Linked DNA regions of Drosophila melanogaster. The protein of the gene in region 2 interacts with the protein of the main gene of each other region in a biochemical or structural test. Each region holds a gene or a part of one and is shown on either strand. Other genes may lie near its edges.

What was found.
Region 1: the proteins of unc-45 (region 2) and Mhc form a complex in vitro, tested with the Drosophila melanogaster proteins (one study listed by BioGRID).

The regions. Positions count from the first base shown.
Region 1 is NT_033779.5:16,764,783-16,769,739, forward strand, and holds the start of Mhc (myosin heavy chain), read left to right. Parts: upstream 1-1,951; 5' UTR 1,952-1,974; intron 1,975-2,143; exon of another isoform or gene 2,144-2,328; intron 2,329-2,994; exon of another isoform or gene 2,995-3,177; intron 3,178-3,801; 5' UTR 3,802-3,898; coding exon 3,899-4,102; intron 4,103-4,364; coding exon of another isoform or gene 4,365-4,508; intron 4,509-4,676; coding exon 4,677-4,820; intron 4,821-4,957. UniProt on the Drosophila melanogaster protein: Muscle contraction.
Region 2 is NT_033777.3:8,031,657-8,037,937, reverse strand, and holds unc-45 (uncoordinated 45), read right to left. Parts: upstream 4,638-6,281; 5' UTR 4,408-4,637; intron 4,351-4,407; 5' UTR 4,337-4,350; coding exon 3,058-4,336; intron 2,999-3,057; coding exon 1,434-2,998; 3' UTR 535-1,433; downstream 1-534. Other genes in the region: CG11035 (uncharacterized protein), read left to right, coding at 5,031-5,726; CG10903 (uncharacterized protein), read right to left, coding at 5,969-6,156, 6,227-6,281.

The DNA.
Region 1 (4,957 bases), on a different chromosome or scaffold from region 2:
TCTTGACACTAAAATGCAAAAATTGCTTTGCGTCAATGACTCAAAACGAAAATGTTTTTGTGCTTTTCGAACAAAAAATTGGGAGCAGAATATTGGATTCGCTTTTTTCGCATCGAATATCTTAAGGGAGCAAGGGAAGAACCATCTAGAATAATAAAGAAGACCAAAATGTATCGTAACTAAAGGTTTTTTTTATTAATTATTAAATGTTAAATATTAACTTATACCAACTCATTGGCTTTACAAGTACAACAAATAACCCCAAAATAATTTATTGTCAGGTGCTAAATTGTTGTTTGTTGTTCTTGGAATTTGTTTTAAATGCTCAATTTATGTTTTTGTCTTTTTGCCCACAATTCTGCTCGACAATGTCACAGATTTTGTTTCAGAAACTTAGCAAAAAGTATTATAATTTTATATGTGAGAAAAGACTAGAGAGCAGCAAACCCTGCACCGAAAATAAAGGAAAAAAACACTCACACTTGAATGAGAACTGAAATCTTTTTCAAACTATAAATATTCCTCAAAAAATGTTTGAAAGTTGTTTTTGTCCGAATTCATGAGTTGTTTTTTTGCGTATTCTTTTTCCGCTACACAATAATCATTGTTAAATATTGAATATTCAAGACGGACCAACTCATTACGAAAAGTATTTGTCGAAAATACCTTGCAGTGGGTGTATATACATTTATCATATAATTCTTTGCCAAAAATGTTGCACATGAAATTTTGTAATTTTGCTTAAAATTATGAATAATTTCTGTGTCGGAATTTGACATCGTTGTAAGAGGGGAGACTATTTCAATTCTGTTGGCATTTATCATAATTCTCTTTGTCAGCATTATAGATTTGATAAATTCTCGACAAATCGCTACAACACGAATTTCATAATGCACTCGTATTTGCAATCGTATTTGTATTGGATTTTAGCATTGAAACCTAAAGATTTTCGCATCGCATTGCTCTGAAGGACGCCGACTACATTGATTTGATGTGGCATTTCTCTGTCTATCTATCTATATCTAAAGTATCTCTTCAACTATGTGTTTTATTTCGTTTTTTTTGCGTGCATTGCAATTGCTTGCATGTTCTAGCCCATCTATGTTATTTTGAAGTTCACATCATTACTTTTGGCGGACATGTGCTTGCTATGGCCGATCCTTAGGCTAGATAGATCATCAATCATTAACTCAAAGGATCGGGTTTTTTCGTTCTACAACTGAACGATGACCAAACGAATGTTTGTAGCCATTGATAGCATACGATCGGTCTTCTCGAACAGCTGTTTAGCCACTGATCGTAAAGTGATCGCAGATTAGGAGGAAAACCACATAGCGCCGCCTGATCGCAAGCATTCCCCCTGTATTCCACCCACATTGGTGCCAGATCGGATTGGCATTGAGGTGACCAAAAACCAAAACCAGAACAAAAAGCGAAAAATGATCACCGAGAAAAACAAATAAAGATCCCACCATGCCATGCCATACACACATGTGTGCGTCTAGAAATGATATGTGAAATAAGTAAAAAGAAAGCTCCCCTTGGAAAGAGCGAGGGATTCCGGCGGAGAAGAATTGCCTCACGGCGGAAAAGTTGTCATTGAAATGAATTTTACTATTTGACTAATGGGAGAATTGCGAGAGAGCCTACGCAATGGCAATCGTCGGAGAAGGAGCTTTCCGCTCTCGATTCCGCAACGATCCTGATTGCATCATATGCTCACACATATACCATATCCACCATCCCGCAATCCCCCATAGAAATGCCCACTTGCTAGAGAAGAGGAATAGGAATCAGAGCAGCCAAGTGCTAGACCGAAAAAGGGAGCAAGAAAAACCGAAACAGAAACAGCGCCACGCACACCGATCGTCGAATCGAAAAGCTTTCGGGGTCTTACGGGATCCATGGGTATCAAGTTGCCCCGTATAAAAGGCAAGTTTACCGGTTGCACGGTTCAGAACGGCTTTCGAGCGCGTAAGTGCAACACCTTTGATGTGCGATCTCTGATTTTTGGATATTACCACCCAGCAGCAGTAGCGGTAGCAGCAGCATCAGCGGCAGCAGCAACAATTTGACCTTTTGGTCAAAAAGCATAAAACTAAAATAATTATTACTACCTATATATATTTATATATGCAACAAAATCGAGAAATTTAAAAAAGTGTGTGTGTGGTGCTTTAACTACGATCCGAGCGAAAACGGATCTATTAAAACTCTGTGACAATCAGAACAGTGAACCGGAATACCTCGGATTATCGTATCGAATTGGATTACAAATAACAATCTTTTCTTAGGAAGTACATCAGTTACTTAACATAACCTATAGGCGTTAATTTGTTTTCTGAGAAGTATGCAACTATCTTCAACTTCTTGTGTAACAAATCTTTGACTTTCGATCATATCAGCGAAAAAATCTGAAAGTGAAGTAACAAGGATATAAGGAAACTTCTTTCTTACTTTTAGGACTCTCACAAAAAACTAGTTTATCCTTTCTCGCCCAAGAATTTTGGAATAAAAGACTTTCATCGTTCTAAATTTCGACTACTTAAAAAATTCTAAAGCAAATAGATCATTTAAATGTCAGAAAGAGACAGCCAGCTGTTACTTCATCAAATGAAAAATTCGTGTTTCGATGTGAGTTCGAAATGCTGTAATAGCCATTTCGAATTACTGGCGAAATGATTTCATACACAAATACCTGTGTGGCCGAGACATATGCGTATGCATACTATAGAAAATAGATTTAGAATACTCGAATTCGTTGTCGGCTCATATACATGGGCGAAATAATTTCGAATATGTTTTAAAAATAACCAAAGACATTAGAAAGAGATCGCCAATACTTATACATTATGTCTATGTGTGCCATGTGGTAGCATGAGCCAAAAAGCTTCTCGAAATTACGAATTACATATAGACGAATATGTATGTGACTTTAGTTTCGAAATAATTTCGAGAATTTTAAAAATAACGCATTCGTTAAAAGTTCGCGTCAATTCGAATCGAATTTTCGATTGTCGATTTAGTGTGGATTGTCGAAAATCGTTCCGCCTTCGAAGTTTACTGAAAGGAATCATTGCGATCTCGTGAATTGCTTGTATGAGAACACGCCACCATATCGAGATACCTGTTCAAAATATCGAAATCGCGTTCCAAACGGTAGTAGTTACCAGTTGAGTGAGTTGTGGTGACAGTTTAACCTCTCTACATTTGTAATAATAAGCATTGTTTTGGCGTATCAATAGTCTGTAGATTTTTTCACAAAGAAACCTGGAGAAATGTACACAAATATCTAAATGAAAATTGGCGTTACGTAACAAATACCAACGCCCCGAAAATCCGTATATATGCAAAGCATTCTGATATATATATATATAAGTGGTATACATATACATATTCGTATCGGATCCGTGATCTATATTTAGGCGACAACCCACACAATTCACTTGTTGTCTGTTTATAACAAAAACAACAACACAAGCACCGACCAGGCCTAATTAACTTTGAGGTGTGAGATAAAATCAAAGCCACACATAAATAAATATCCGGTTACGGTAACGGGAATTTCGAAAGCGCGAAACGGGAAAAATGTTCATATTTGGAAATCGAAATTAAATTTCGAAATCCTATCCACGCACACACGCGTAGAACTGTTATAGTGTCCGCTATTGCTGCTGCTGTCAAAATGGGTCAAAAGCATAAAATCCATAAAAGAATCAGACTTCGAAACAAAATTCCAAAAATAGTATGCTTTTCTGAGAACCATATAATAAATATTATTTTTCTTTTGTATATTTACAGGGAAGTTTTGGGCTCACGACGCGATTAACAAAGAAATTTTGAAAAGTCCCAATATTATTTTTCGAGTTTTTAAGTTTCTAAACGAAATTTAAGCAAGATGCCGAAGCCAGTCGCAAATCAGGAGGATGAGGATCCCACCCCATACCTGTTCGTGTCTTTGGAGCAAAGGCGTATCGATCAATCGAAACCCTATGACTCGAAGAAGTCTTGCTGGATCCCCGACGAGAAGGAGGGTTATCTCCTTGGTGAGATCAAGGCCACCAAGGGCGATATCGTCTCCGTTGGTCTGCAGGGTGGAGAGGTAAAGTCATCGTCTACACGAGGCTTCAGCATAAAAAAAAAAAAAAAAAAGCTATTGAAGAGTCTTATGGTCGACCTAAAGTGTTAGTCAATTGTTACCCAATGGGAAAATCTTCTTGGTACTACTACTACTACTACAAGAAGGGTTTTTCAATGGATAGCATAAGACTGGGACTTTGTCATGACCTCATACACTTCAATAGCTTATAATGTAGCCACAAAATTAGAATGAAACTATAGATTTCGCCTACATATACGATTAGGTACGAGATATCAAATCCGAGAAGGTGGAAAAAGTCAATCCACCAAAATTCGAAAAAATTGAAGATATGGCCGACATGACCGTGCTTAACACTCCTTGCGTTTTGCACAATCTGCGTCAGCGTTACTATGCTAAGCTCATCTACGTAAGTGTTGTACTGCCAGAAACTCACTAATGTATGGGTATCTCTTCTCTCTCTCTCTCAATCTCAAAAACGAACTGCTAACCCAACGTCTAACCAACAAATGTTGTACAAAAACTAAACATAACCAATCGAACTGAATCCGACAAACCGAACGAAAATGATAAACAGACACGAGACTTAAAGAAAGATCTGCTCCAGCAAGTGAACCCCCCGAAATACGAAAAAGCCGAGGATATGTCCAACTTGACATACCTTAACGATGCCTCTGTGCTCCATAACTTGAGACAGAGATACTACAACAAGCTGATCTACGTAAGTAATTGCCGATCAAGGGTGGCACACAAGTATGCGTTCTATGTTCTTACCCAACCGCTTATCTACCGCCAATCACTCACACTTATGAAAAAAAGAAAAACATCCCAAAATTTTTCAAAATTCGATTAGAGCTG
Region 2 (6,281 bases):
AACAAAAATATTGACATGAAAATCGGCTTTCGATTTCCACGGGACAAATTGGGCGGCACCAACTGTGTTGCACCACACTGAACCGCACCGCGCCACCAAACCGAGATTAAATGGAAAGTGAAGATGCACATATGTACGTCGCCAATCAAGCCGATGAAGCTCTAAGCCAGTGCTTCCGATCCACAGTCTTAGCAAACTCTTTGCCACACGGTCTGTGTCTGTCGTCTGTGTAATTAGGACAAAATGTCTCATTTTGACCAATGCCGAAAAAGTAAATACAACCGAAACCGAAAGTTTCTGCTTCTTGGGGATTAAGTCTGGGATTATTTTCTTTATTATCGATTTCTCAAATGGAAGAAGAGTGTACATTTATTATGAAGTAGCCGAAAAACTCGATTTTCAATATTAAACAACGCTATAGAAATGAATTTCAATTTGCTAATATATTTCCACGGAAATATCCTTTTTACATTTTTTAAAATGTCTTTTTTTACCATTTTTTAAAATGTTTATTCCCCTAACTTAATTGTTTTTATACACCAATTTTTTAAATATATTGCCAAGCATTAGTTTGTTTCCTTCTGGGGTCTTACATCAACATATTTTATTTCAGCTTATATCCCTTTAGCATATAAGGGTCCTGAAGAATTCATCTTCCTCATTACTTTACCTTCTAACCACGTTATTTATATTGGTCAAATTGAGCACAGTATATGGTTTAAGGAGAAGAGGAAAATGCGAAATAATCGCGGGAAAAGGAATGCCAAATGGCCAAAGACAAAAAGCGGGATGGATTTCGGAATAAATGCCGTTAAGTCATGGCAACCGAATCATAGCAACCGAAACCCTCGGCCATTTCCCACTGCGCTGAGCCAAACTAAATTAAAGCAACTATTATTTATTTAATCACACTTCATTGAGATTGAGCAATCAGCTGGAAGAGATGCTCGGCTCGGAATTCCCGGCTACCTGACACTGCAACACTGCCGCATCAGAAGCATCTTCTGCATTAGAGGAAGTCAGCTACCTCGAGCTGGCGACTAATGTGTGGCAATGAATAGAAAACGTACCGAGGCAGTGCACCGGGGAAAATGGAGTCGGTGGGAAAACACTAGGCCATCCTAGTGGCCATCCATATTACAATCCAAATCACATTAGGCCGCAGCAATTAGGCTTGGATTAGGCTTGGTCTGTATTAAATTAGTTAAATTAAAAAATCGCGTATTCATGAAATAACTAAATAATATATTATATTACCCACTAAGGAATAAAACAAACTACCTTTAAAAACGAAATAAATTCGAACAATATTTATAAAACAGTTAAGTACATTTGATATTTTGAAAAATAAGTTAAATTTCGCGATGACACTGTGAGTAAAGTAAAGAAGATGAAATGGAGGAAAAACAAAAGGCACTACAAACGAATTTCGCTTAATCATCGATAATCTCAGATATTTTCGAATTTTCGGCAAACACATCGGGGATTTCCGCGTTGTCGGACCGCTCGATGATCCTATAACGCTCCGCCGCCGCCAGGCACTGGGTGGCCACCTCTCGGGCCTTGGCACGCGTGTCATCGGGCAGCTGCCCCAAACCGCTCAGCAGTTCCATAATGTCCGTTTCAAACAGCTTTTTGGCGATCTCCTCTCCAGCATTGATCATGTTTAGAATAATCACAATGCCTCGATGCTGGACCGCCGGACTGGGATTGGCGATCAGAGTGTGCAGAATGTCCAGCCAGCTGGCGATGGCCAAGATCTTCTCACAGCACTTGACAGACACTGAAGTAATAATGGCCAGAGCTCCGGCACAAGCTGTTGCGGTCTCCTCGTCCTCATCCTCGCAGAGAAGCGCCAAGAACTTCACTCGGTCGTTATTGCCCTCGAACATTTTAATGACATCCTCACTCATAACCAGATTACACAGACACTGGGCAGCTGCACGAGTCAGGTACAGATGGTCCTCCATCAGATAATACTCTATCTTGGAGACCCCCTGCTCCTTGATAATCCTCTGGCGCACGCTCTCGTTCATGCTGGCTAGATTGGTGAGTGCCATTAGCGACTCAAAATTCTCCAGCGCTGTGCAGTCCTGTTGCAAAAGGTTCAACAAAGGACGGATTACATCAAGCGATCGCTGGCCACTGAAAGATACTTCCGGATTAATGGTTATGCCAATCCTAGCCAACGCCTGGGTAGCATGGCGTTTTCCTTTCTCAGTTCCCTCAAGCGCCATACGAAGCAGCGCCTTAACGCCGCCTTCTTGAACCACTTTTCCTCGCAACTCTTTCAGTCCACAAACCGCATTCAAAACCCTGGCAATCAGCTCCTGTGAATTGTGGCTTTCAGTTTTCGCCAGTGCACAAAGAGCAGTTGTTATGCCCTCATTTGCCAGCACAGTAATACGCTTATTGATGAAATCTACGTCGTCCAGCTCGTGCTCCTCCGGTATGTGTTGCTTAGCAAACTTGGCAAGTTCTATCATCTCAGGCAACATCTCCTGCTTCTCATACGCATTGCACAGATTCACAAAAGTAGTGACCACACCATAGAGACAGGACTGATTTCCTCCGCGGGCCAAATCCATTAAAGCGTGAATGGAAGCCTTATCCTCAATGAGCTTCTCCTTACATTCAGCATCCAGTGTTAAATAAGCCAGACCATCGGCAGCCCAACGACGGATATCCTTATCCTTTCCAGGTTTGATCAAAAACCGACGGCATGCCTCCGCCAGCTTAAGGGCAGCTCCATCGCCAAATGGTCGGATGGCCGCGTCCTGACCGCCGTAGCTACCCAGCTTGCAAAGACCCACCAGGGCGCGTACTCTAATACCATCGTTCTTGGAGTGGTAGAGCCGCTTTAAAATATCTACTCCCTGCTCACAAAGAGCCTTGGCCTTGTCCTTTTTAGAGGAAGCGGCGATTAGGCACTCACATGATACTCGCTGCTGCAACTCATCGTCGGTCGTAGCCATTGCTAGAATCATCTGCAGTATTCCTGTTACAAATTTCACCATTAATTAAGTACCATTTTCTAAATCCAATAACAGAACTCACCTTCTCTGGCCACAACCTGATTGCCCACATCCAATGGACCGTTAAGCAGGGCAGTAATCGCAACGGTGACCCGCACCTTGGATTCCATATCAGGCGCCAAAAGCTTGTCCTTAATGTATTCGTCGATCTGGTCCGTGAACCGTGCCTTAGCTTCATCGTAGTACATGTTCTCATATATCCGGGCCAGACAAACGGATGCAATTGTGGATGATGAGCCTGTGATATCCATTGCACTCTCGTACTTATAATCCTCCAGTTCGGAGCACACATCCAGCAGACGGCACAGTCCCCTGATCTCAACCAGGCGTTCGGCCCATTCTAGAGCTGTGTAGTGGACATTCCTGGTTATAAGCTCAATAACGCCATCCCTAGCTGCTCCAGAAATCGTGCGATCCGTGATACTATAAACTAGGCATGTTAGGAGAGTGTCAATTTCCCGGTTGTTCCTAGTGCACAGCTCCTTCTCCGGCTTCGAATCGGGTTTGTTCTTAAGCCCAGACAATGCGTTCAATATTGTTTGTAGGCAAAACTGGGCGGTGGACACACAGTTCTCGTGTTTTTGGTCGAGAACCCTCATGAACCACGGTACTCCGAGTTCAGTTAAAACGCCCTTTGTACGCTCGACGCTATTTTCGCAAAGAGCAGCCACCAAATGCACCATATTCACATAAATGTCCTGATCCTTTTCCACCTTTGTTAGTGAGGCCACTTTGGCGATGCAGTGGTCCTTGTAAAGCAGTTCAGCGCCAGTCTGCTCTTTGGCCAAAACTACTAGGTTATTGGCTGCCGCGCGACGCTTATCGATGGGCGTGGCCAAATCAAAAGTAAGATCCATCATCTGCTTGACTTTTGTGGATGTCTTGGCATTACGGGCAGAGCGCTCTTCCACGACGACATGAAGCCTCTGGAGCATGGGCTGTACGGTTTTGTTGCCGGGATCCGCTTTAAACAAAGCGGTTGCGTCTTTGTAGGCCTCTTCGAACTTCTCCAGAGCTTCGTACGCCTGAGCCCTACGGAACAGTGCCTTGGGATCCCCCGGAGCCGCTTTCAAAGATTCAGTGCAGTCCTCTACCGCATTTTCATACTTTCCTAGCTTCAGATAAGCGGCAGCACGATTCTTATAGAAAACCGCCAGCTCCTTGTGCTTAGAGCCCGCCTTAATGGCTTTGCCATAGTGCTCCACTGCCTCCTCCCAGCGGGAGGCCTTGAACGCCTCGTTGCCCTTATCTTTGTAGCTTCCTGCGTCGGACACTTCCTCGCTGTTGATGGTGTTTGTCATGGTTACACAATTTTCTGTATAAAAAGACAAAAACTGTAGCTGCAACTTTTTATTGTTAACGGATGACTCACTATTCAGTTCGGTTTTGTGCCTTCTGGCCTAAATTTCGACCACCAGAAACTTCTCGATCGCTCTCGAATACACACAGATACAGTTGCAGGCGTTTAGCGGGAAAATCAAGCACGCTGCGTGAGACTATTGAACCGGCTGCTGCCCTGTTCTATATATAAATAAAAATTGAGAAGACTCAAACCAAAATAGTTGCAACAGTTGCCATTCGCAGCGAATCGGCCAAACAGCTGACTGGAACCGTGGAGCTTACGTTTTGCTTTTTTCATCATAGCCCAAACAGCTGACGAATTTCAACTTTACTAAAGTCTTAAATTTTTAACTAAGCCAGGGATTACAAATATTTTTCTGATATATCTGTAAAAACTTTTTTGAAAATCATTTATTCTGTAAATATTTTCAAAATCTATCTTTTATAAATTAATCAATTACAAGCTCTTTTTCCTCTTTCAGCTAATTTTTTGCTGTACCTGCACCATTGGTTCAGAATACTATCGATCTATCGATAACAACGATGGCGAGGGTGAACAAGTTCAAGTTCAAACAGCTGATTCGATTTGTTTTTAATTTTCATGTGATATAACGAAACCAAAACAAGTGAAGCGGGCGAAAGAACACATCCAAGATGTACCAGCACAGCCCAATGTTGTGGCGACCTCTGCTTCTGCTGCGTGGCCTCTACCTCAGTCAACGCCACCAGATGAGCCACTACGACGCACTGGGAATCAGGCGTCAGTGCACGCAGAACGAGATCAAGGCAGCTTACTATAAGCTCTCGATGCTTTATCATCCGGACAGGAACCAAGGAAGTGAGAACGCAGCCAAGAAATTTCGGGAGATCAATCAGGCTTATGAGATTCTGGGAAATTACCGGCTGCGTCGACTTTACGACAAGGGAATCGTACATACGGCAGGCGCCCAATATGCCCAAGATGTCCACGATGTAGCGGAACCCGTAGTCGAGGACGATGCGGAGACTAAGTTTTACAAGTCGCGATTTCAGAAATCGCGTGTATCTGATTCTGCGGGCCGTACGCCCATCTATGACTTCGACGAGTGGTCGCGAAATCACTATGGTAAATCATTTGACCGGAGACAAGCCGCCCAGGCCAAATACGATCGAATAAAAGTGCAAAGGGAGACCAACAGAATATCAGGCCAGACTGACATGGTCCTGCTGGCCTTTATCTTTGCCGGAGTGGCCGTATACCTGATGTTCCTCGCCGAAAGCTCCTACGACACTCCCAAGCAGAAAGCGAAGGAACGATACAGACGCGATCAAGAAGAGCGAGAACAAAAACTAGTCGGGAAGCAATCTTAGAATTCTCTAGTCTTCAGCGTACATAGACTTAAGTTAAATGAATTAAATTCGAAACAATATAATTTTGTGAATTAAAGATGTGTCCGTTTTACTTAAGATGAATAGCAGCGGGACTTATACATATGTATATAAACATCCAACGGCATTGTAATATCCTTAATCTGACTCAAGATCTAAAACATATAGACAAAGCCGCAATTAGAGATTAGGTCTGTCACTAATTTTAAATGTAACAACTTTATTCAAAATTTGCCGCTGCGCTTGCGTGCAGTGTACTTTGTGTCAGGACGGGTTTCCAACCCCTGGCGACGTCGACGCTCTTTCTTGGCTAGGATCCAATCGCGGGATTTCTTTGGCGCTTTTCCCCGAGCCTCACGGCAAGCATCACGTTTCTTTATATAGTTTACACGACGTTCCTCTTCAGGTGAGCCTACAAAAGCAAAGAAAAATGATGTGAAAGTAATTATTAGTTTTCTATAATTATTATTATTAAAACTAACCCAAAGCCTGCGGCAGCTCAGCAGATCCTCCAGTCATGAGCACCAGGTAGTACTT